3 linked regions of the Lonchura striata genome follow. The protein of the gene in region 3 binds, or shares a complex with, the protein of the main gene of each other region. Links are inferred from orthologs where the notes say so. Each region holds a gene or a part of one and is shown on either strand. Other genes may lie near its edges.

Evidence for each region.
Region 1: the proteins of CNNM2 (region 3) and PTP4A1 are in contact, whole or in part, in a crystal structure (PDB 5MMZ), measured with the Mus musculus proteins. The link is inferred for Lonchura striata from reciprocal best matches to the Homo sapiens genes CNNM2 and PTP4A1. Residues at the interface, in NP_291047.2 of Mus musculus: Phe526, Asp528, Val551, Asn553, Glu556, Gly557, Asp558, Pro559, Phe560, Tyr561; in NP_035330.1 of Mus musculus: Asp72, Gly73, Ala74, Gly107, Leu108, Gly109, Arg110, Arg137, Arg138, Gly139, Ala140, Phe141, Asn142, Lys144, Gln145.
Region 2: the proteins of CNNM2 (region 3) and ARL15 are in contact, whole or in part, in a crystal structure (PDB 8F6D), measured with the Homo sapiens proteins. The link is inferred for Lonchura striata from reciprocal best matches to the Homo sapiens genes CNNM2 and ARL15. Residues at the interface, in NP_060119.3 of Homo sapiens: Asn490, Val492, Pro521, Leu522, His523, Phe524, Val525, Phe526, Thr529, Glu537, Lys542, Ser543, Gln549; in NP_061960.1 of Homo sapiens: Tyr92, Ser94, Arg95, Gln98, Gln128, His129, Pro130, Gln131, Cys133.

Annotation. Positions count from the first base shown.
Region 1 is NC_134605.1:88,071,026-88,078,591, forward strand, and holds the start of PTP4A1 (protein tyrosine phosphatase type IVA 1), read right to left. Parts: upstream 3,077-7,566; 5' UTR 3,072-3,076; coding exon 2,967-3,071; intron 1,446-2,966; coding exon 1,353-1,445; intron 980-1,352; coding exon 849-979; intron 1-848. Other genes in the region: uncharacterized protein LOC144246073, read right to left, coding at 3,421-3,516. UniProt on the Homo sapiens protein: Protein tyrosine phosphatase which stimulates progression from G1 into S phase during mitosis. May play a role in the development and maintenance of differentiating epithelial tissues.
Region 2 is NC_134642.1:32,441,913-32,449,942, reverse strand, and holds the start of ARL15 (ADP-ribosylation factor-like protein 15), read right to left. Parts: upstream 3,060-8,030; 5' UTR 3,016-3,059; coding exon of another isoform or gene 3,004-3,015; intron 1-3,003.
Region 3 is NC_134609.1:20,271,431-20,278,951, reverse strand, and holds the start of CNNM2 (metal transporter CNNM2), read right to left. Parts: upstream 3,022-7,521; coding exon 1,449-3,021; intron 1-1,448. Other genes in the region: AS3MT (arsenite methyltransferase), read right to left, coding at 6,113-6,211, 7,012-7,146.

The sequences.
Region 1 (7,566 bases), on a different chromosome or scaffold from region 3:
GCAGAAGAGGATTTGTTTTGGCAACATTGATCTACTACTAACATTCATCTACAGAGTTCGCTACAGCGAACTTTGTTATTTGAGAAGCCATAATGCAGTGGATAAGTCAGCCTTATGGACAACAAGACCAGAAACCTCCATTTTATATTGAACATGCTGAAATCCATGGCTAGAATATAGCAACTCCTTTTTGAACAGATCTAGTTCCCAAGTAGTTTAGAACAGCAGAAAAAACATTATTTTCTCACAGTTGTTAGAATTCTATTCAAGATAGTGGCAGCAGACAGAAGGAACAGGACTAAGAAGAGACTATTTAGCAATATCCCTAAAAATTTTTATGTCACTTAGAAATGAGACAAACAGCTTTGGGTCTTTGGAAAACACTTTTCATCCCCCAAATAGGTTGTGAACAAAAGCTGGTCTTGATGTGCCGGAACCACCCACTTGTTTGCAGTTAACGGTTACAATGCCCTTGGTTCAAGGAGACTGGCAATACTGCTGAAATGGAGATGGAGAGAAACCAGGCAAGTCACAAAACCCCAAATCCATTAGGGAAAAACAGACAAAAAAGCTCAATGGGGCATTTATTCACATATTCAGTACAAGAATATACTCGTTAACTTAATTATGTAGACTTTGTGAGAGCTTTGACTGAAGCATCATCTCTTGACCTAAAGATCTTTAATAACTTCAACAGTTTCCTGGCCTCTTAACTACTTTTAAGCGTGAGGTAATTCCAATGCTGGATACATGACTATTTTACATTTGCCTCAAGTAAACTTTTGTATTAGATCTTAACAAGTCTGGCCACAGATGACAATTCAACAAATCTTTAAACATTCACCCACCTTCCAAGACCAGCAACACAGTGTACAGCAATACAACAACCAGGCTCTTCACGAAATTTAACTTTAAGGAGGTTTAGCCAATCATCAACAATCTGGTTGGATGGTGGAGCACCGTCATCAAAGGGCCAGTCCTAGAACACAGGGTTACAAACACAAAGACAGAATTCTAGTAAGCTGTATGCACAGGCAAAGAAACGGAGGGGACACAATGGACACAGAGCTGACAGCTGAGGAAACCACTGAAACCTACAATTTTCTAATAGTCTAGCTATAGCAAGATTACAAATAGATTCCTCTCAATCAGTTTTCATTGCTCACATGATTTAGCTCAAAAATTGATTTTTTTTCCAGACAAGAAAAGATGTCTCCACATCTTTACTCCATCAGTTGCTGGAATACACTCGAAGTTAATACAGTGGTGTCAAATAATCTCTTTTTGAGGGGAAGGGGATAGAGTGAACAGTAAAATGCATTGGTTTCAAAGTCTGCTTCTACACAACTTACCAAAACCTGAATGCCTTCTTTTTCCACCGGAGCAGTGTCATAAGTAGCTTCACACACTCTCACCACTGTAGTAACACCGTATTTCTTAAGTTCCTAAGGAGTGGGAAAAAAAATGCTGTAAGAGTAAACTAGCTTCACTTAACCATTTAATTTTCTTGATAGGCTAACTGAGGAACTCATTCCAAAATTCTCAGTAGCAAAACTTATGCAAATGCTTGCCATCCTGCAAAGACACAGGAAGCTGAAATGACTAAAAACTTGTGTGCTAATGCCAGATACTTTAGGCTTTTCTGCAAACATGGTCTTACGTGCAGACTAAGTTTTGTTATGCTGGGTTGGACTTTCTTCTTTTAAAATCAGATCCTGATAAATATTGATTAATCAAGTAGTCCATCTCCAAATGATCATTCATCTTAAAGGACCATGAAGCTTTGCAAAGCTACATATTTCACTAAAAGCATTCTGAGCAAAGTTCAAATCTTCTCCCTCTGCTTAAAACAGGTTTTTTAGACCACTTACTCTTAAGAGCTACAAGCACAGGACAATAAATTATTCTAGTTCCTGAGATGTCAAGACAAAATTTAGCTTTCCATTTTGCTATTACCCTACATAAAAAAAAAAACAAAACAAAAAAAAATCCCTCTTCATTCTCCCTGCAACAAATATCATTCACACTGCAGCTGTCAGAGTAATGACTGAAGCATAGCCTAAGCAGACCTGATCTACTTGTGAGAGTATAAAGTCAAGCAAATATTTTGTTTCCTGTAAATAATTCTGCACCAAATACAGAATTGAGGTGCAGTACATCTAAAATCTTGCTAAGGAGTGACCTGGCAAACTTGGACCTTCTCATGAAGTAGCTCTGTAGGAACTTATCAGCATACACACACACTTTATACAACCATGCACTTTACAGTTCCAACATGCTAAATACATGGTTTAGATGATAAATTCAGTACTACCAATATATCCCAAGCCACTGGCTTTAGTCAGTAGCATTTACCAAAGCACTTGAAGCAGCTTCAGCAGCTCTGAGTGCCACAAATTTCACTCATGTAGGCACTATGACACAGAGGATCCTCTTAAACTACACTAAAACCACGATCTGCTAATAGTAAAGGAAGCTAGGCAGTGAAAGCACATTGCAATCCTATTACTAGTTCCTCAGGTTCTAACCCACACTATGTATCACTATGCAGGAAGTGCAATAAAACATTACACCACTTCAGCCCAATCTGAATCTACAACTAAGAGATGTTTGTATGGCTCTACAAATAACACTGCTAGATAATTCCTGTTTTCAGACCTAAACAATGTACTTAATGTACCATGTACTAGACAGTATAATTATTACTTCACTCTCAGAATTACATTTGTGAAGGCCAAAATATATATAATTTGTCTGCAGATTTGCAGATATCTGCAGATTTGTCTACAGATCTTCAAAACACATCACCAGTTTGAAAATAAAAATCAATATACAGTCTCAGTATCTCCTCATATCGCTTTTAGAGCGGTTATCAGCTAGTAAATATATATTTATTTATATATAAATATAGCATGCTGTCCAGGGATTAAAAAAATACATCCGTAAGAATTCTGTACTGGCCTTACCTCTATAAATTTGTTTAAGGTTGCATTGGTTGGATTATGTGTGATCAGGAATCTCATGTTCTTGTAGGTGATTTCCACAGGAGCTGGGCGGTTCATTCGGGCCATATTGATTTAGTTAAACATGCAACAAGATTATGAAAGGATTAAAAAAAATTCTAATACAGAATTGATGTAGAGAAACTGAAGTCTACTTCACTATACTCCACGTGAAATTCTCAGTGCTTGGAAGTATGATGTTGGGAGCAATGGGAAATGAAATGAACCTCCTAACAAGAAGCAGCAATTCTTCAATCCAGTAATACTGAGGCAAAAGAAAGGCAGTGCACTGAGGTTTACCCCATCCAGGTCTGAATTTCGTTGGTAAATGCTCTGCCGATTTCAATTCAACACTTCTTATCCTGGTCAACCACTCTTAGGGGGGCTTCTTGGTGGAGTAGTAATGGATTTCTACAGTTCACTTGTCTGCATAGAGGTCGTGCTGTGCCTGGCAGTAGTCTCCACTGCCCTTCAGAAACTCCATAAATGTGTGACCAAGAACACCACAGAACTGCTGTAAAGAGAGGGGGGCAGGGGGAAAAGCATAATGAATACAGGTGAAACAAGGTTTTAAGACATCAAGCTTTATAACATGAAAAAAACCCACAGCAACTAAGGGTTTCACAAGGTTTATTTTTATTCCAAGAATTAGGTTTGTGCAAGAATCCTGTTACCTTTTTTAGCATGGATTACTAGAAAATAAATAAATTTATCTATTACAAAGTTTCCATGTAGAGTTTTTGCAACACCAAATCCTGTAATGTATTAAAATACCAATTTCAGATGTGCAAAACACAGCAACAAGTTTTAAAAATCCCAGTATTTATAAAAAGAATAGTTCTCCCAGGGTACCCATGCAACTTCCTTCCCCATTTTGAATTGAGAGACATCACAATTACTAAAGTTACAGAAAAAAATGTGTATAAATCCACCTGACTCAAACAGTAGGCCTTGAAAGCAAATGCAGGCTTTGTGGCCTAAGAGTACAACATGGGCTTTTAAACAGAAGCTTCTGAGGCATACACTTTACTAACTAAGAAACGTTTTACACAATAAGTGCTAAAGACCAATGGCAACCTTCATATGCTTTAGCAGTCTTTTTACACCATGACTTCATTAATATACACAGAAAGCAGTAATGGTCTAGCTAAAAACATAGGCAAGTTTCTTGAACAGGTCATTCCTGTCCACTAGTATGCTGCTTAGCTATGGTTGAATTTATACATATAATTACTGGAAGAAGCAACCATGAATTAAGATAGCAAATGAACTGCTCCAAGTTGTTTATTTATTTGCAGATGTTGCAAATGAACTACCCATAGGTGCTTTTTTACACCTGTAAAACCCTTACAGCAGATAGATGCATTAAGTTTTGTGCCCAGCTACTCTACCACTATTACTGCTTATACCTGTCTAGGACACAGGAGAGAAGAAGAGGGGAGTTCTGTTTTCCAAAAGAGGTACAAGTTGAATCACATGTCCACTAAATATACTTAGGTATTTGAGAGAAACTATCAATCCTAGAAATATTTAGCAGAAAAAGTTATTTATGTTTATCAGTCAACCTATTTTCATGTTTTCAGACAGCTTCCTGGTAAGAGTTTTGATGTGTGTGTTAAGTCATAGGCGTGACTTGTAAAAAACAAACGAAACAAAAAACCACACAATAAAACTCCAACCTGCTAATAAACACGAGAATGAAGTCAACAGAAAGAAACTAAGATGACAATTTCACATCCACTTTGCTGCCACTCCAGAGATACTACCATCACCTGGTAGTGATGCAGACTCCAGGATTAAGTTAGTCAGCTACTTGTAAAAAAAGCTACTTCAGTATTTACTTTTAACAACTTGAGAGAGAGCAAGAACTCTAAATAGAATAGGCGTGGAAAAGTAGTAAGAAGGAGCCTCTTGAGTCAAAGGTCAACAGAGTAACAGGAACCAGAAGAATTCAGACTCGGAAGGACTCCAAGAATCATCTGACTCACCAGCCATGCCCTAGCAAGGTGGCAGGAGTGCATTTAAAAGCCTCCTAGGACCAGATCTAGGGAACAGCTAAAATAGCAACTGAAAAAAAGAACTGAAGGTAACTTATTTAAAGTCGCTTTCAATTAGTTTAAGAAGCGGAACAGCAGAAAGGGACAGGACAGCTTTAAGCAGATATAGCTGCACAAGGTCTTGTGCTGCTTTGTGCACTGCACTGGCAGATCTCCTGTCAATCTCTTTTTAAGACTGCTAAGAAGCATAGACAAACCCTTGCTCTGCTAAAGGATGAGGGAGTGAAGACTGTCAGAAACACAAATGCATGCAAGTGAGCTTGAGGACACAGAATGGAGTCATTAGGATGAAAACCTTTCAATTGGCAAAACTGAGCTTTTGGGGAGAAAAGAACATTTAACATGTTGCCATACCAGGGCAGGTTAGAAGAATGAAGTAATCAGGTTTCATCCAGTCTTCTAGGCAGGTTGCCCTTACTCCCAGCTAGGAGTACTCAAGATACCACACAAACCAGTAAACACAGAAAAGGGTAGGCAGTAAGTAATTAGTTAAGTAAAAAAATCCTTATTTTTCATGCAGATCGCTAATGACATTTTAGAAACTAGGTGCACAGTTCAAATTCTTATACAAAGCAAAAGCAAGTAGATTATGCAATGTTACATTTGAGTTCCATGTGTTATTAACCCTTACAAAGGAATTAATTTTGTTAATTACTGACTTAACAGTCAGTATTAGACACATCAGAACCTTAGTAACTCACACATCTAAGGACCTAACCAAGCATGTACTTAAGCCTCACTGTTTGCCTTGGCAACTACTGCTGCCACACTACAGAGGACCAAAGCTCAGAGTTTCCTTTGATGTGAATGCCGTCACTTCTCACCAATACTAGCAGGAAAGTTTCACAGGCAGACCAACCTTTAGGCAGAAACACATTGTACTATCCCAAGACAGCTTTGCCAACCTAGCTTCATTCTGTTCTGGGAGTCAAATGAAAATGAAAGATGAGTAGTACATGGGCATACTGTATCTGTTATGCAGTTAAGCCAGAGTACAAGGCTTGACCCAACTTCAGCAAAAAGACTGGGGAGATGAGAAATCAGCTACGAAAATAGTGTTGCAGTAATTATGATGATCTCGGGCTTTGAGGGAACTCAAACGATGTCATGAGCTTTCAAAAGCTCATATTATTTTGTCTCATACAGTTTAGGTAGTAAGCTATCAAAAGAGTCAAGACAGTGCATGAAAGCAAAAAGTTGCATAAGTGAAATTCAAACACGTAGTGTTGAAGGCAGAAGACTCTTAAGAGTTACACCAATTCATTGTTTGTACCATCAAGTTAGGTATGTTGAATCACTGTATTTTTTTCAATTTATATATAAATTTTCCTCGAGAAAATTTAACACTGAAGGATTTTGGAAAAAGTAGCAATTTCCATCTCAACAGAAAGTCCAACATTTAGACTGGCAGAGCCACCAAAAAAATTTGGAAAACAAAACTAGGGTTAATATGCCAAGACCCCCTATTGAGAGAAGGTGACCTGTCCATTATAGCTGCATTAATTATGATTGCATGATCCATTACAACTCAAGACAGAAGTTAGAGAATAGTCTGTTCAAGCAGGAGGAAGGCATTTTGAAAAGGAAGGCTTTAATTCATGCCCTTCTCTGGGACAGAGCCGTCATCACTGACAAGTAGATTCACATGGCTGTTTATTTGGAGTTTGAAACAGTCACTCATGCCTGAAAAAATGATTTACAAAAGTAATCTATTAGATCATTATTGACATGGGGAAAGCAGACAGATACAACATTATTCTACGCTGTTGACACTCTGGTTCACAACTCAGTAGCATCTTGAAAAGCATGCAAACAAAAGCACTTCTTAACACAGTTATGTGACACTTTATCTTCAGAACATGTGCAAGATGGTTCATGGTTGCTCAATCCACTTGCTCACAGACTGAAAACATTTATACCCAGAACCAATTATGTGGTCTCACAATCTCTTAAGTCAAGACCTTACACACACTCACCTACTGAAACCACAGGACTAACACTAGAAAATTAAAATAAACGAAGTTTCACAATTTGACACCTGCAAGGAAGCTCATTGTTCTAACTTACTACCCAACAAAAAGAATGACAAATACCTCCAGCTTCTTACTATTCAAGGCATCAGCAGCAACTGCCAAAGCAGACAGTGAAGAGTGAGAGGGTAAGGGGTACAAACTGCAAAGCCATAACACAAGGTAGAAGCACACCTTCACAAGGTACTCTTGACAAGATGCACCTCCTATCTACTGGGCAAATAATTGCCTGCCCTTATGATATCCTGTGATAACACTGTCCATTTTCGACCATGGAAAGTGACCCATTGCCTATGCAAACAGATTCATATATCACCAATGGGAAGGGAGAATCCAAAGGTTTATCATAAATTTGTTGCAACATGCTCTATGCCAGAAGCGTATTCTTGTGGTTCAAGAAGTGGGAAGAAAAAATTATCTCAAAACTTCCTGCATAACAAGTCAATGCAACTTTTAGAGATGATGAAACCAAGACCA
Region 2 (8,030 bases), on a different chromosome or scaffold from region 3:
AGGAACTTCATCTAGTGCAGAGGATTCCACTGAAGAAGTGTATTTTGAAAGCCTACTCAGGAGCTTAAAAATCTGCATTGTAATTGCAGCACATAAGAAAAACCGAAGCCTTTTTATTGTTTTCTCACAAGTTCTCCAAGCAAGAACTATAAGACTGGTCACATGCCATGCTTTTCACAAGATGCATCATGGTGTAAAACTTCTTAAATTAAGCATAGTCTACTGAACAGAGGCCAACCAACACAAGTCTCTGAATACACTAAAATCCTTCCAGACATAATGTAGCAAGAATGAAGCTGAAGAAGGTTGCAGACAGTACTCTAGATTACGTAGTCACAAAAACCTACAAATCTACGTTGACACAGCTGTGTTCACATAGTATGTTTGAAAAGAGTTAACTAAATGCAAGCAGAACAACACATTTAAGTAAAAGGTTCCTCTGGGTGAAAATGTATTCTTTTTTAGAAGTTGGACTTGGCTTAGCCATGTTGATTTAAAAAAAAAAGAAAGAAAAACCACCACACCACTCCTAACATCATAACTATATCAACACAGAAATAAAAAAAGGCACCAGGTTGGAGAGCCTCTTCTAGCTATCAAAGATACAGAGGCCAGTGATACTTTTTTGTACAATGTAAAACTGCAAAAACAAACCAGAGCCTCACAGAAGATCCTTTTGTAATACCAATTTATTATCAAAGGGCATTAGCCATAAATCAAGGATCACAAGGAAGGCACTATGCAGGTTCTGGGCATCTGCCCATAAAAGTTTCAGGCCATAGCTCAAGCTGGCTCCAAATGGTTTTGAATGCTTTCAATAACCTGATAATATTGGAAGGTGCTTCAGATGTTCACTACTTCTTGGTATCTGCTTCTTAATGGAAAAAAGACATTTCCATCAATGTAGGTCCTATCCAGTTAAAATCAGGAAAAGAACCTTCCTATGCAAGTTTGGGAAGAGCTAGCTAGACTCTTCTGGCTAGAAGAGGGTAGACTCCTTGTGGAGATGCATTGACCCCTGAGTTCATGCAGCAACAAACCTGATCTCATCTATCCACATCTCCTTCCACTACACTCCCTCACTCAGCCCCACTGATAACCAGAACTCTGTCAAATACTCTGTCTCAGCACTTCTGCAAGAGGAAACAACTCATCCTTTGCTCTCTGCTTCACACTGCAAGCACAGGAGAAAACTTCACTGGCTGCAGGCCGCAACACAGGTACCCAACATGAGGAACCAGCAAAGAGACTTTCTGTTTGTGTTTTCATGCCCATATACGTGCAAGAACCCAACATAAATGCACAAAACACAAAATTCCTTAAAATGTATAGCTCTTTTTGCTATGGAAATAATGAGACAATTGTTCTACAGCTATAGATTAATATTTACACTGTAACTTGATAAAGAGTAGGCCCATCTTTATACCAGGGCAGACTGGGTACACAACTAGTTGCCTAACTGACCATCTTTTTTTTTTTTTTTTGGTTACAGCAGACTTTCTGAGGTGCCTGAACCTCATGATCTATGAGGGTTTTTTAGAACTGACACCAAAGAAGGCCACACAACAAAAATGAGGCAAATGACCTGCTGGAGAACAAGAGTCAGGGGAAGAAAAAAAAAAAAGTTGAGCTATTTAATCCCCACCCCTCTGTAGTTAATACAAAAACATCTTCTTAGTTTGCATGGCTTATTAAATTTATTGTTCTCAGAGTGGTTGGCCTTCCACACAACAGCCTGTAGCAATCACAAAGGTTCATGCAAGCATTTGAAAAAGTACAGAATGGCCAGTTTCATCTGGCCATAAGCTTATAAAGGGAAAAAAAAAACCTCAGAAACAGCTCCAGGCTCTCAAGGAACTATGAGGCTGCACTTGATACCCAGCAAGTTCATTATCAGTATTTCATTAACTAGGTTGTTAAAGAGAAGTCTGCCTACCATTTCTGCCACACAGAACTCATATTCTAGTGTCTCTATGTAGTATTCAAATTCAGAAAGGCAAGCCTAAAACATTTTTGGGGGTTGCAAGGCTCAATAAACCAAAATAAATCTTAGCTCCACAGACACAAGATTAGTGAAGTATTAATTGAACATATTGCTGGTTTAGTTAGCTGCCAGAAAATGAAAAGCCAGACACTGCATGCAGCTCTCATCTCAGCAAGGCAAATATTCTGCTCACTATAAAGAGCATCTCCAGAGATTCTGTTGCATATGTTGACCCTCTCTTGAAAGCCTACATCCATGAGCATTCCGAGTGAAAAAGTATGAATGATAGAGTCAAGATTCTGACTCCAAATACTTCCTGGTCGCACTTGACACCAACAACAAGCAGGGATGACCAGAAGATACCTGCTCTTCACTGCCCCAGCTGACGCTTCGCAGCACTTCACGGTGAAGGAGCGGGCACCAGTTCACAGTGCAGGACTCGAAGCAACAAGACTGGAGCAACGGGATGCCAGCCGGACTAGAGCCATGGGATGTGCTCGTTACGCCCCCCCACTGCTAGGCTGAAAAGACCAGGTAAGCGGGTACCACACTAAAACAAAGCCACCTGCTCATTAGCCAGCCGCGCCACAGGGTTTTTGTCCGCCGAGGGTGCGCGGATGAGTGCAAACACCAGCCACGATCCCAGTTGAGGTGCACGCCCGCGATACGATCTTTCACAGACGAATGAAGCCAATATTCATTAAAAAGCCATAAACACTACCCCCGAATACCAGCTGCCTGGGCGCTCGGCTGATCCCGTCCGCGGCAGCAATTTAGTTCACTGAAGCATGCCCTAAGCTCTAGCATTTAGGAAAAAAACAGCGACCCGGGTCACGGCTTCAGCGACCTAATAGCGGCCAAATGAGCGGGGCTCGGCCGCTTTATCGCCCGTTACCAGCCCGCCGGGCCGGGCGCGGCAGCGCGGCCGGACCCGGCTGCCCCCCGGCCCCGGGCTGCCCCCCACACCGACCCAGCCGCTCAGTAAAATGTCCGACGGTCCGCTGCCGCCTGGAACCTACCAGGTAATCCATGTACCGGAGCGGCGCCGGGCGCCGGGCTGCCGAGCTCTCTGCAGGGGCCGCGGGCGCCCGCCCGGCTGACAGCAGCGCTGGGCCGGCGGGGCAGCGGCGGCGCGGGGAAGCGGCGGGGCCGGCGGCGCGGGGCGCGGGCGCGGCGGGGCCGGGCGGGCGCGCCGGGGGCGGGCGGGGGGCGCGGGCGCTGCCCCGGCGGGCTGTCAGAGCCGCGCTGCCGCCCGCACCTCGCGGCGGAGGGAGCGGGCAGGGGCGGGCCGGGGCGGGACGCGCCGTCAGCTGATCGCACACGTGGGGGCGCGGCCGGGCCGCCCTTAAAGGCGTAGGCGCGCCGCGGCCGCGCGGGGCGGCTCTCGGGGCTGTGTTATCCCGCAGCCAAGCACATCAGAGGAGGGCAACGGGCTGCAGCGCCGAGTCCTGGGAGGAGCACCTGAGGGAGCTGGGCGTGTTTATCCTGGGGAAAAGGGGGCTCACGGGAGACCTTATCACTCTCTACAACTGCCTGAAAGGAGCCTGTGGCCAGGTGGGGGTTGGCCTCTTCTCCCAGGCTCCCAGTGACAGGACGAGAGGATATGGTGCTAAGCAGCCCCGGGGGTAGGGGGATTCAGTTGGACATTAGGAAGAAGTTCTTCACGGAAGGGGTGATTAGACACTAGAGTGGGCTGCCCAGGGAGGTTGAGTCACCGTCGCTGGGGGTGTTTGAGGAAAGACTGGACGTGGCACTTAGTGTCATGGTCACGTCCACTTAGTTGAGTCGTGGTGTTTGGTCACAGGTTGGACTCGATGCACTCATAGGTTTCTTTCCCATTCTAATCGATTCTGTGGTGGTTCCCCTAAGCACCCGTGAAAGCAACGCCCATGTCTCCTATTGCAACCTGACATCCTAACCTGGAGGCTTTTCCACAAATGTAAGGTGTTGGTAGGAATGCCTGACTCCTGGAGAAGTTGAAGGGAAGTTCTCCATGTCTATGACAGTCAGATAGAAAATATAGAAATGAGGCATCAAGTGAAAAAATAAGGCAAAAAAAACCAGAGTGTAGTTAAACTAACTAGGAGAGTAGGTAAGTAGGTAAGGAGCAACAACAAATCAGTATTTGTAAGGATGCTGGTGAGCGATTAACTTACATCTAGTAAACTGGCGTGGGGTAAAAAAAATTACAATTACTGCTCTGAATTTTGTAACTAATTGTGGACAGTCTCAGTTACTGTATCTGGAGAATGTCAGTAAAATGTTCTCCTTGTGCCTGCCCAAAACACACCTTGCCAATGGATAATTCATTTTCCTCATACATCTAGTGTAGAAAAAAATTGATTCCTTTGGCAGTCCTTTCTTTACTTTGGGATTCAATATCAAATACATCTGAATAGCAACTGAAGTTTAATTTAAATTACTACATATGAATTTTTTAATTTTTAATCATTTAGAAGTTGACGAATTTTAGTACTTTAATAGGTAATGGGTGGAAAGAGGGATACAGGCTTGGCCCTTCCTGCTCTTCAGCATTGTGACTGTTTTTCATGTAGTCACAGATATTTCTGGCAACTGTCTCTTGATCCTGAAGTGTCCTTTTGACAGGGAGAACCACAGTGTAAAGACTACTTTAGCCACTACAGGGATGGATAAAGTAGGCCTCTCAATAATATAACACAGGAGCTGCTAGAAACTGATTTCATCATACGTCTGTCATCATATATGATCTTTAACATTTTGCAGTGCTTTCCCCTTAACAATTAAAACCTTTTATTTCTTCTTTTTTATTCTTGAGACATGCTGCCTTTTCATGCTTCTTTAAATGAAGGGTGACTGAAATGAGAACATCAAGAACAAGCAGATATTTCAGAATTGTTTCCTGTGAGACAAATAGGAAAGGATTGAGAATTATTACTTGTATAGCTGATTGAGAAGAAAATAGAATCTATGAATCTAGAGAGTTGTTGCAGAGATGCTGCTGTGATAGGAAAAGTAATTGGCTTTCATTGCAAGAAGGAAGATTCAGTTCAGCTAATGGAAAATAATGGGAAGGATATTTAAACATGGACAGACAACACGATCAAAGCTAGTAGAATTTCTGAAAGTAGCCATGAGTTATAATAACACTTCACAGATGTAGTTTAGTCTAGTTACTTAGCACTGATGTACATCTGGAGAAAAAGAGCTAGAAGATCCCTCTGTTTTAAATGAAGCTAATAGATCTGATTATGAAGATGCAGTGTATTTATATATCCAAAGAAAAATGTTTATTCTATTTTATAAATGTGATTTTCTTTCTAGTTTATAAACAAGACCTCATGATCTGAACACAAAATCAGTTTTAAAAAATCAAGAAATTTCTCATGTATACACTGAAAATCCCACAAACTTGATCAAAAGAGAAGCCAAGCTTAAATTTATGTATTAGGCTTTCTGTTCACTGTAAACACATTATTCCTTTGGCCATTGCATAGCCTTATGTACATTAATTTTATTACATAAAGTGGAGATTAACATTGAAAATAGCAGAATGTAAGCAGAAAACAAGTCCTAAGGCATGCCTTCCAGCCTATATAGCAGTCATGATGCTGCTGAGATTTTCCTAGCAAGTCTTGTAACATTTCTTTCATCTAAAATGAAGTTCAGTTTCATATTGGAATATATATGTAATGCAGTGTTAGTTATCTTCGTAAAGAAGCTTGTCAGCAGGAACTTGTACATCAAGATAGGAAGGAAGAGATCAAAGTATTTTAATGGAGCAAATGTCATGTTGGCTGTGAGGTAATTAGTCTGGTTCCAAAAATGGAAGTGAGCTTATGCACAGAAGCACAACTTTATCTTCAGTGAAATCCTGTCACAAGAATAATTTTCTGTAAACTTGTATGAAAAATAATCAATCTGGGACTCAGATTTTGACCCTGAGAATCTCAGTACAACGTTCTATCATCCATTGCTTCTGTCAGTGCAATTTAATGAATTTGAACATCTTAACCTAAGAGTAGCTACCTGATAAATTCAAGCATTTGTCGCACTAGCAGTTAGCAAACTCTGGTGGTGAATTTGACAAAAAGGTGTATTTGTTACTTAATAGATATCAGCAAAATGGGAATTTAAAATGTAAATACTAATGAGTATGTCTATATCCAAACATATTTGAATGGAATTAGTATTGTCTTTGGAATTGCATATCCAGCAGTATATATGACAAATTGTCTAGTGAGAATTATCTTGGAAAACAACTTGAATGACAGGCATACTATAGTAGATCTTTTAATCATATTGCTTTAATTTCCATTCTCATTAGTTAAATAGATTCTGTCAAAATAATGCTTATGTAGAAGTCCTGCAGAAAGCAGTGATGCTATTCATGCAGTAGATGTACATAGAGTGTTGGCACATCATGGTTTGAATGACATGAAAACTGGGTATTTTACAAAAGGTTCAGGTTCCCTAAAACAAAAACACCCAGTAGCACACCAGTGACTGAGACAATCTAAACCACTTTTCCACATGAGAATAATTTCATTTTTTAAAAGGACAAAGTACATGGTATGTTTGTTCTCACCTTGTTCTCTACATCCCACCCAGTTTTTAATAGGGGAAAGGCAAGTGAATATTCCTTTATGATTAGCAAGCAGGTGGCTGCTTTAATTACCAAGTTTTACTGATATAAGGAGCCCTGGTAACTCTGTTTAAGAAAATTAATCACTGGAGCAAAATATTTTACCCTTCAAATTAAAGTTGAGAAGAAAAGCATTTATTATCTTTGAAAGTACTGAAAGAGGCTACTTTACTCATAATTTTCAACATTAGTTTTCCATGGTACAAGGTTGTTACAGCAGACATGCACAAACTCCCATCTTAGCAACTCATAGGATAATTAGCAGGAAAGCAAAACATAATTTTTACCTTCGTGTTAATACCATATACTTACTTTGGAAAATTAAATCTGTAGAAAAATCTCTCATATAAAAATGTGGATTTCTTGGATTTAGGATGCTCATACAGTAATATAAAGGCTCCCAAATGCTAAAAAAAACCCCAAAAAACCAAAAACCAAAAACAAAACAAAACAAAAAAAACAATCTTTATTTGTTATGGCTAGAAATTTAGAATTGGATGTCCTAAAAGGTACAAACTGTGCTTAGTTCAAGAATACAAATGATGTGATAAAACAGTCTCTGACTTCACTGGCAGAATAGAAAAGAAGCTGGACCAAACAGGAAGTTAAAATTAGTTAGAACAGTTCTGTTGTTCACCAGCTGGAAAACTGATAGGAAAAAATATTTGAATGGTCTAATGGTGATAGATTTCTAAGTATGCATTTTAACAATAAATGCATGTGGCCAATTGTGACCAAAAGTATTTCCTAGAAATATCCAGAAGGGCATAAATACATAAAAATAACTGGACAGAGAAATGAAAGAATGAGGTTTTCATTAGGAGAGTTTGAATATTAAATAGATGCCAAGAGCAGTCAGCAGTTTTAGTTGCAGCTCAAATTTCAGTAGTTACTTAGAGGCTTCTGTTAATCAAACTCATGTAACTTGCAGGGAAAGGGAGAAAGTGCTCTGAGTAAATAACGTTTGAAGCAATTTGCAGCTCTTTATCTGATATATTGACAAATGTCAACATGCAGAGATTCTACAGCCAAAGGTGAACGAACGCTACAAGAGAAGCAAAACCACTCAGTCAAAAATATCTTTCTCTTTGCTCTTATGCCTTGGTACCTTCTGGCATTTTGGTCACCATGTGTGCTATGGTTATATATATATATATATATATATATATTTATTTATTTATTTATTTATTTATTTATTTATTTATTTTTGTCTGTAAAAGAACACATGGATATGAAGACAAGAAAACAGATCTTGAAAAGGAATTCTCACCTGTTCTCCCTCTTGTTTCCTGAAATATGTGGCTGACCTTCAGGTAACCTCACTGGCAAAATAACAACAGGCAGTCTAAAAGCAAAGGTTAATGATGGAACAAGGTCAAAAGTAGAAACCAGTTTCCCTCTGTAGTTACAATGATATAAATT
Region 3 (7,521 bases):
CCAAGGGAGACCCTCCCTCGTTTCTCCTTCAACACCTCCAAACCCAAGTAAGATTTCCCCATCTCTACACACAGGCTGAAAGACAACCACCACTGCACTGGTCAGTAAAAAGCAGGAGTACGTTCATCTTCTATAAACAAAGATGAAATAAACATGAGGTAACTCTCCAAATCCCCAAAAACCGAGTTAAACAGGATGAAGAAGATCCAATGCCTTGACACAAGAGCTTAGCATGTGGTCAAAACAGCAACTGAAATTTAAGTCTTAATTTCAATTTATCTAGAAAGAACATGCACCAATTCACAAAGCTTTTTTTTTTTCCCTAGGTAATTTATGCAGTTAAAAGGTAAGCTCAAATATTCTCCACTAGATTTCCCCTCTCAAGCAAATCACCCCCCAAGAACTGAGCTGTTCTGTGGTACTTTGATCAGATCTCCCAGGTATGAACCCAGGACTCTGGTGGCACTCCAAATAGCCTTTCTTTTTCCAGCACAGGAGTCCACACATCCAAACTGCCTGAAATTTCACTTAACAACTACTTTGAAAGGTCCTTCCTGCACAGGCTACACAGCATTATTATTTGGTTTGCAGAGAGGAACAGATTTTAAAAGGAAAACAAAAAGATGTTTTTTCCTTACACATAAGCAAGACCTTCTAACACGAATTAAGATGCATTTGTCAAGTCAGCACCACCTACAATTAAGAGAAAGGCTGAAAGCTCAGTCCCATCCTGATGCCACTAATACACAAGCTACACCAAAGAGGTAGAAAGGGTCACCTCTCTGCTGAGCCTGTGGTCCTGAAGCACAGGGTAGCCTGGGGAAAAAGAGCTGTAACTCTGAAGTGCAGCACCAACAGGTACTTTGGAATACATTTTAAGACATTGAAATGATTTGAGTTACAAGATCAAAGTGTCAGTCAAAGCAACTGGAACACGGGGAGAGAGCTGAAGTCGGTTGGCTGAGCCTATGAATGGAGCTAAAATGCCTTGTTTATCTCAGCACGTGTATGCACTGAGCCTGAAAGGCACCAAGCAGCCCACCCACTCCTCCCAGTCAGGCCAGCTGAAAAAGCACAGAGAAGACACAGCCAAGAAATGGGCGCAGATTCCCGTCAGTGGTTCTCACTATAACAGACAGATGAGTGGAAAAAGCAAGAAGGAAAACAACCTTGCTTGGCACCATGCCCACACACACATCCCAGTGCAGTGGGGGAAAAAAGGCTGGGGGCACATCCCAGCCGTGGATCAGCTTTCTGGCCCAGGGAACAAGCAGCTCTGGGAGATGTCTAAATACTGGTCACTCACAGCGCAGAATGCACCTTCCCACAGCCCTCTGTGAGCAGTGACCCGAGGGCCCGCTGCAGAGCTCCCTTGGTGCAAGCAGGTGGATGCTGAGCACACCGAGCAGCACCTCCCCAGCATGCCCCCACCACAGGCACGAGCCCACCTTTCTTGAACTCCTCCAGCATGGCATCGAGCTTGGTGTCATTGAAGACAAAGTGCAGCGGGTGGTTGTAGAAGCGGGTGATGGTCTTGAGTGGCGTGCAGTCATCGGGGTCCACAAAAGCCAGGTCCTTAACGAAGAGCAAGTCCACGATGTTGGAGCGGTCACCCTCGAAAACAGGGATGCGGGTGTAACCACTCTCCATGATCTCAGACATAGTGTTGAAGTCGAGCACAGCCTCGGCAGCGATCATAAAGCAGTCTCGGAGGGGAGTCATCACATCCTCCACAGTCTTGGTGCGCAGTTCCAGGGCTCCTTGGATAATGTTAAGCTCCTCCTTGACTAAATCGTTATAAGGGTCGGTGACCCGCAGCATCTCCAACAACTTCTCACGGTTATAGACCGTGCCGATCTCCTGGCCCAGGACACAATCCAGCAACTTGCTGACGGGGTAGGAGGCCGGGAAGGTCATCATCATGAAAAACTTGGTGAGGAAGATGGTGTTGGCGCCCACGGCCAGGCCGTGCCGAGAGCAAATAGCCTGCGGCACGATCTCGCCGAAGATGACGATACCGATGGTGGAGACCACCACGGCCACCAGCCCAGAGCCGGCAATGTCGTCCAGCAGGATGGTAAGTGTGGTGTTGACCAGGACATTGCCCAGCAGGAGGGAGCACAGCAGGTAGTTGCCCTGACGCCGCACAGGCTCGATGCGCTTGGCGTAGTTCTTCTCTTTGTCCGTGCCACAGTTCTGCACGATGCGCAGTTCCATGGGGTCCAGGGCCATCAGGCCCAGGTTGAGGCCACTGAACATGCCCGAGAGGCACAGGAGGAGCGAGATGAAGATGACCTGCAGCCAGAAGGGCAGCAGGAACTTCTTCTCCTCGCCCACGATCATCTTGGTGTCCTCGCCGTCATGGTAGATCCAAGTGGTCTCACCCCAGGGCGGGGGTCCCGCCGGCCCCTCGGCGCCCGTCAGCCCTCCGGGAGCCCCGGGCCCCAGGGCGGCGGCGGCGGGGGCCGAGACGGAGGTGCACAGGTAGTAGGACTTGCTCTTCTCCGTTTTGCGCAGGGGCTTGATCTCGATCTCGATGATGCCCGAGGTGCGGCGGTTGAGCACGATGTGCGGCATGATGATGATGTCCGAGGTGCGGATGCCGCAGCGCTGCGGGGCCCCGCCGCTGCCCGCCGACCCGCCGCCGCCCCCGCCGCGCCCCGCCGGCCCCGCCGTCGCCCGCCCGCCCCGCCGCCGCTCGTGCTCCGTGAAGGCGATGCGCGACCACGTCTCGTTGTTGATGTTCTGCCCGTAGACCCGCAGCTTCACCCGCGTCCGTTCGCTCACCCGCAGCGCGCCCCCCTCCATGAAGGAGACGTCGTCCGTGTCCTCCAGCCGCAGGCCGATGATCACCGTCTCCTCCGCCGCCGGCGGGGGCACGACGGCGGCGGGCGGTGCGGCAGCGGCGGCGGCCGGGGGCCGCCGGCCCAGGCAGCCGCCGAGCAGCAGCAAGAGCAGCAAGAGCAGCACCCGCGCCCCCCGGCCGCCCCCCGCCATGTTCCCACCGGGCAGCGCGGCCATCTTTAGTCAGGGCTCGGCGCCGCCGCGGCCCCGCATCACCGCGCGGCGCCTGCGGCGTGCCCCGGCTTCCCCGGCGGCGGCGGTGGCGGCGGGCGCGGCGGCGGCGGCGAGCTCGGCGCGGGCTCGGCTGCCCGCGGGACCCGACGGGCGGCAACTGCCGAGCCGGGCCGAGCAGCGCCGCCTCTACCCGCGCCCGCCCCGCCCCGCCCCGCCCGCCGCGCGGGGAGGGGCCTCGGCTCGGCGCCGCCAATCAGCGCCAGGCCGCGCCTCCTCCGCGCCCCGCCCCCGCCCCAGCCCCGGGGGCGCGTGACTCCGGTGTGTACGCCGGGCGCGCGGGGGCGGGGCCGGCCGCAGGGCCGCGGCCAATGGCGGCGGCGTTCGGGGCCGAAGGGGGCGGAGCTTCAGGAGGGGCGCGACCAATGGGGGTGCGGTGCGGTGCGGCCGGCGCGCGCGGCGCGCGGCAGGAGCGGTCCCGGGAGCGCCCGCGCCGGGGCACAGGGCGGCCGAACGGGCCGGGCGATCCCGCTTCCCCCGCCGCTTCCGCCCGGCCCACGGCGGCCGCCGCTCCCCTCGGACCGCCGCGCCTCTCGCCCCCTTCAGTGGCCCGGGAGCGCCGCCCCGCGTCCGCGCGCCGCATCCGTCGGCGGTCGCGCAGCGCCCCCTGGCGGTCCCGCCGCGCCCCTTCGGCCCGGCCCGACGGGGCGCACCCCGGGGCCTCCGCCGGGATCCGCCGCTGCGGAGGCGGCTCTCCTAGCCCTGCCCGTTCCCGGTCGGCCCCGAGCCGCCGCCGGTGCAGTACATGCGACATTCAAGAAACCGAGCTGTGGCACTGAGGTCCCCGGGCGCCCTCCGCCCCGACATCTCCTCGGCTGTGTCGCGCCTGAGGGCGGAATTAACCATTAAATACCGAGCACGGACCGGCCGCGCTCCTCCCTCACCTCTGCTCTGCTCCGCCGCCCCGGGAGGTGAGCGGGGCCGGGGCTTGGAGCTCCTGCTGAGGACATCCAAAGCCGCCCCAGCTGCCCCGCTCCGCTCATTCTCAGTTCATGGAGGGCCGGGAGCCCCGATCCACGAAAGCACCTGTGAATCCCCGTGTGCCGTGCCCACCGCCCCGAGGGCCCGCCTGCTCCCCAGGCCTCGGCTGCTGTGCCGCAGTCCCAGCTCGGGCAGCACACGCCCCGCAGCCGGTTCCATGTCCATCACATGTGAAGGAGCCAGGAAACAGTTCAGCATCCTGGACAGCCAAAGACAAACAGCCGTGGGAGAACCAGTGTGGCTTGTGGTGGCTGACATCCTTTAGAGGCGGTAAAACAGCCTCCCTGCTTTTTAAGTGCTTGGGAAATGGAAGAATAAATTGTGCAGGGCAACCCAAGATGTGAAGCAGAGCACAGTGCTCTGGTGCCTGTAGCCACAAATCTTGCCTGGTCCCAAAGCTCATTCAGCTTATCCTAAGGCAGTTCTGCCAGCCTGCTCCCCTAAGGAGGTGACAGGTGTCCCTGAACCACAGCAACACCCTTCCCTTTCCTCTCAGAGTGAATCAGACCATCACAACCTCTGGATGCTGCCATCACAACACCCTCTCTGCCTGCCAAGGGAGGACACCAATGCTGCAGAGCTTCACACTAGGAGAACAATCACCAAAATACAGACTGGGGTGCTGGACAAATTATGTCGGGGTCCCTCACACGGGATAGGGCTGCAGGATTTCCTCTTTTCATACACTGAGGGCTAAAAAACCCAAGGCTGTGCATGCACAAGTAAAACCAGACAAAGCGGACACCACTGCACCCACAGCCTGGTGAGGACCTCTAATGCTCCACATCAAAGTCAAGTTCTCTTAGTTGCTTCCATCCTGACATGCTGAGAATTTCGGAAAAACATAGTGCTATGCAAATGTAGTGGCATTTAAGCCGTGGCCTTTTTCTGTATGCACAGAGAGGGGATCTCACTGTGGGTGCAGCTCTACCCAGGCAAGTTGAAAGACCATGCCAGGGATTCATCTCTTTTTAATGAAGGGATTTGCAGGTAGGACTCCCCCACACCCCACCTGCTCTTCCCTTCCCACTGGGAAAGCTGTCTTTGATAGCAGGAGCTAATTGCTGCAATCCTCCCAGGATAAACTGCTTGGGGACTTGGATGAAGTCTTTGTAAGTAATCTTGAAAAAGGGCTGGGGGTTGGGTGTGTGTATTAAACAGCTCCTTCCTTCCAAGGTCCCATCAGTGAGGTCATTCCACACAATTTCAGAACAATTTCAGGTGTCCTGAACACCTGGACCCTCCTCAGCCACTGCTACTGCTATGACAGAGCATCCTTGGTGTTGGCCTGTTTCTTTTTGAACCCAAATTTTATTGGGGTTTGCTTCTTAACTTCCCTCATACCACAGCAAGTTGATGCTTAAATGGCAGAGATGGGAAATTTGGCCCCTCCTGTAAAATCACTGTGTGAGAAGGGGTGGAAATGGTCCCTTATTTCTAAGTTTAGCTGTTCAGCAGCTCTCAGCCTTTCCCAAGCACCTTCTGTGGGCTGGGTCCTGTGAGATTCATGCTGGGCAGCAGGAATGCAGACCATCACCTCCCACCACACCCTAAAAGCCCTCCCACCTTGCTCTTTGCCTGCTGTGGGATGCAGCTGGATGCATTTCTGCTTTTCCAGAACTGCTGAATTTCCCTGCAAAACTCTGCAGGTGCAATGCCTGCTGGGGACTCGGGGCTTTCCAGCTAGATGGAGAACAGGGAAAACAGAAACCTCAGTGGCGCTGCACAGGGAAAGAGAGAGCAACCCTCATCTCCTGTAACAGGCTGCAGGGCTGCAAGTGAGACAGAGACTGTCCCTGCTTGTGTGCCCAAGCCATGCAGCCACAGTCAGCCCCACAGTGAGGGGACTCACAGGATGGGACCTCACTGCAACCAGGCACAACCTGCCCCACCAGCCCTGCCAGGGAAGCACAGCACCCACGGCCCTGTGGCAGCTACAAACACAACCTTTGAGCTCAGACATGTATTTATTTGCTCTCTGGTGGAAGACGTTACTGGAGCCACGTCCTCTCATTCCACTGACTTCCAACAGTGGTGTGGGGACACCACTTGCCACTCAGCAGCACCCTGGAGGACCACAGGTGCCACCAGAACAGCTAGCAGGACCTGGGGCTCTCAGCTGCTCCAGCAGCTGGAAGGGATCACAGATTTTCTCCTGAAGGACAGAGAAAAACCCAGGGCAGGATCAGGCCAGTGGGAAGCAAGAGGCACCTGAGAAAATGACACTTGGCACTTCCTTAGCTATCATGGGGGGCAGCCTCTGGGACACTCCAGCTGTTTTTTCCTGCAGCAAGGAAGAAGCCTGGGACTTTGGCTCTGCTTTTATCTGAGAAATGCCTCCTACTTGGATAGAGTCCTGAGAAAATCTCCCCTTCCCAAGCACGAGGCTGTATTTCAGGGATATGCAGCTGCAGGGGATTATCTCACTTGTATCTCCTGGCCCATCTACAGGCTTCAGGGACCACCAAGGAGAAGAGATAGGCTTCCAGCAGATAGAATGTTTTGTGCTACAGGGTCAGGGTTGGCAGCCAGGGCCAATCTGCTCTTCTATCAGCAGGCAGGAGGGCAATGGGCAGGAAGAAACCATGGGAATGGGTCATCATCTCCCTGGGGCAGGCTGTGTACAGCAATCCCCTCAGGGGAAGGATGACTCCCCTTGGGAGATCTCAGAAAAGTCCAGCTGTCAGCCTCACCAGTCCCCATGGACATGTTGGGGTAGTTAGAGCAGATCCCCCTTTGGAGGGCTCCAACTTGGGTAGGGGTACACTTTATCCTGACTCAGGCACCAGGCATCAATCACTCTTGGTATCCCACGAGCTTCTGCCCAGCCCAGAAGGAGTCACATGTATCTTGATATCATGCTACAGCCCTTCTGATACCCCATAGCAACTCTGATGGCTTGGGACACCCATGTCCCAATTCCTTAACCCAGCCACAGAGCTGCCCTCTACCAACCTTCACTCCTTTGCTACAGCAGCCCTGCAGTCCTGCAGCGTTGGCTCCACCAGCTCGGATCAGGAACTTCTCCGCAAACCTGGAGCTCTGCAAGATTGCAGCCATCTCAGCATCCACGTTCACCACCTCTCCTTCCTGAGGGCAGAGGGATGGTCACAGGACTGGGGTCCTGGATATGTGTCCCAGGGGACTCCAGCCACCCAGCCAGATGATGGGGAGAGTGAAAGCAGGAGCACATCTTGGCCCAAAACCTGAAGAAACCCCCACAAAACCCAAGCATCAGGAAACCATTCCAGGAAGCCACCATGGATGTCCTACTTCTACATTTACCACAAAGCCATGCATGCATCTGTCTCCCTTTCCTGTACATTTGCACTCCCCTGGGTTTACACAGCTTCTTGGCTCCCACCCTCCATCCCCTCCAGCAAAGCTTGCCCCCTAGATCACAGAGGATGCTGCTGAGTAGCAGCTTCATCAGCTTTTACTCTTCCCTACAGAGCCTAGGAATGC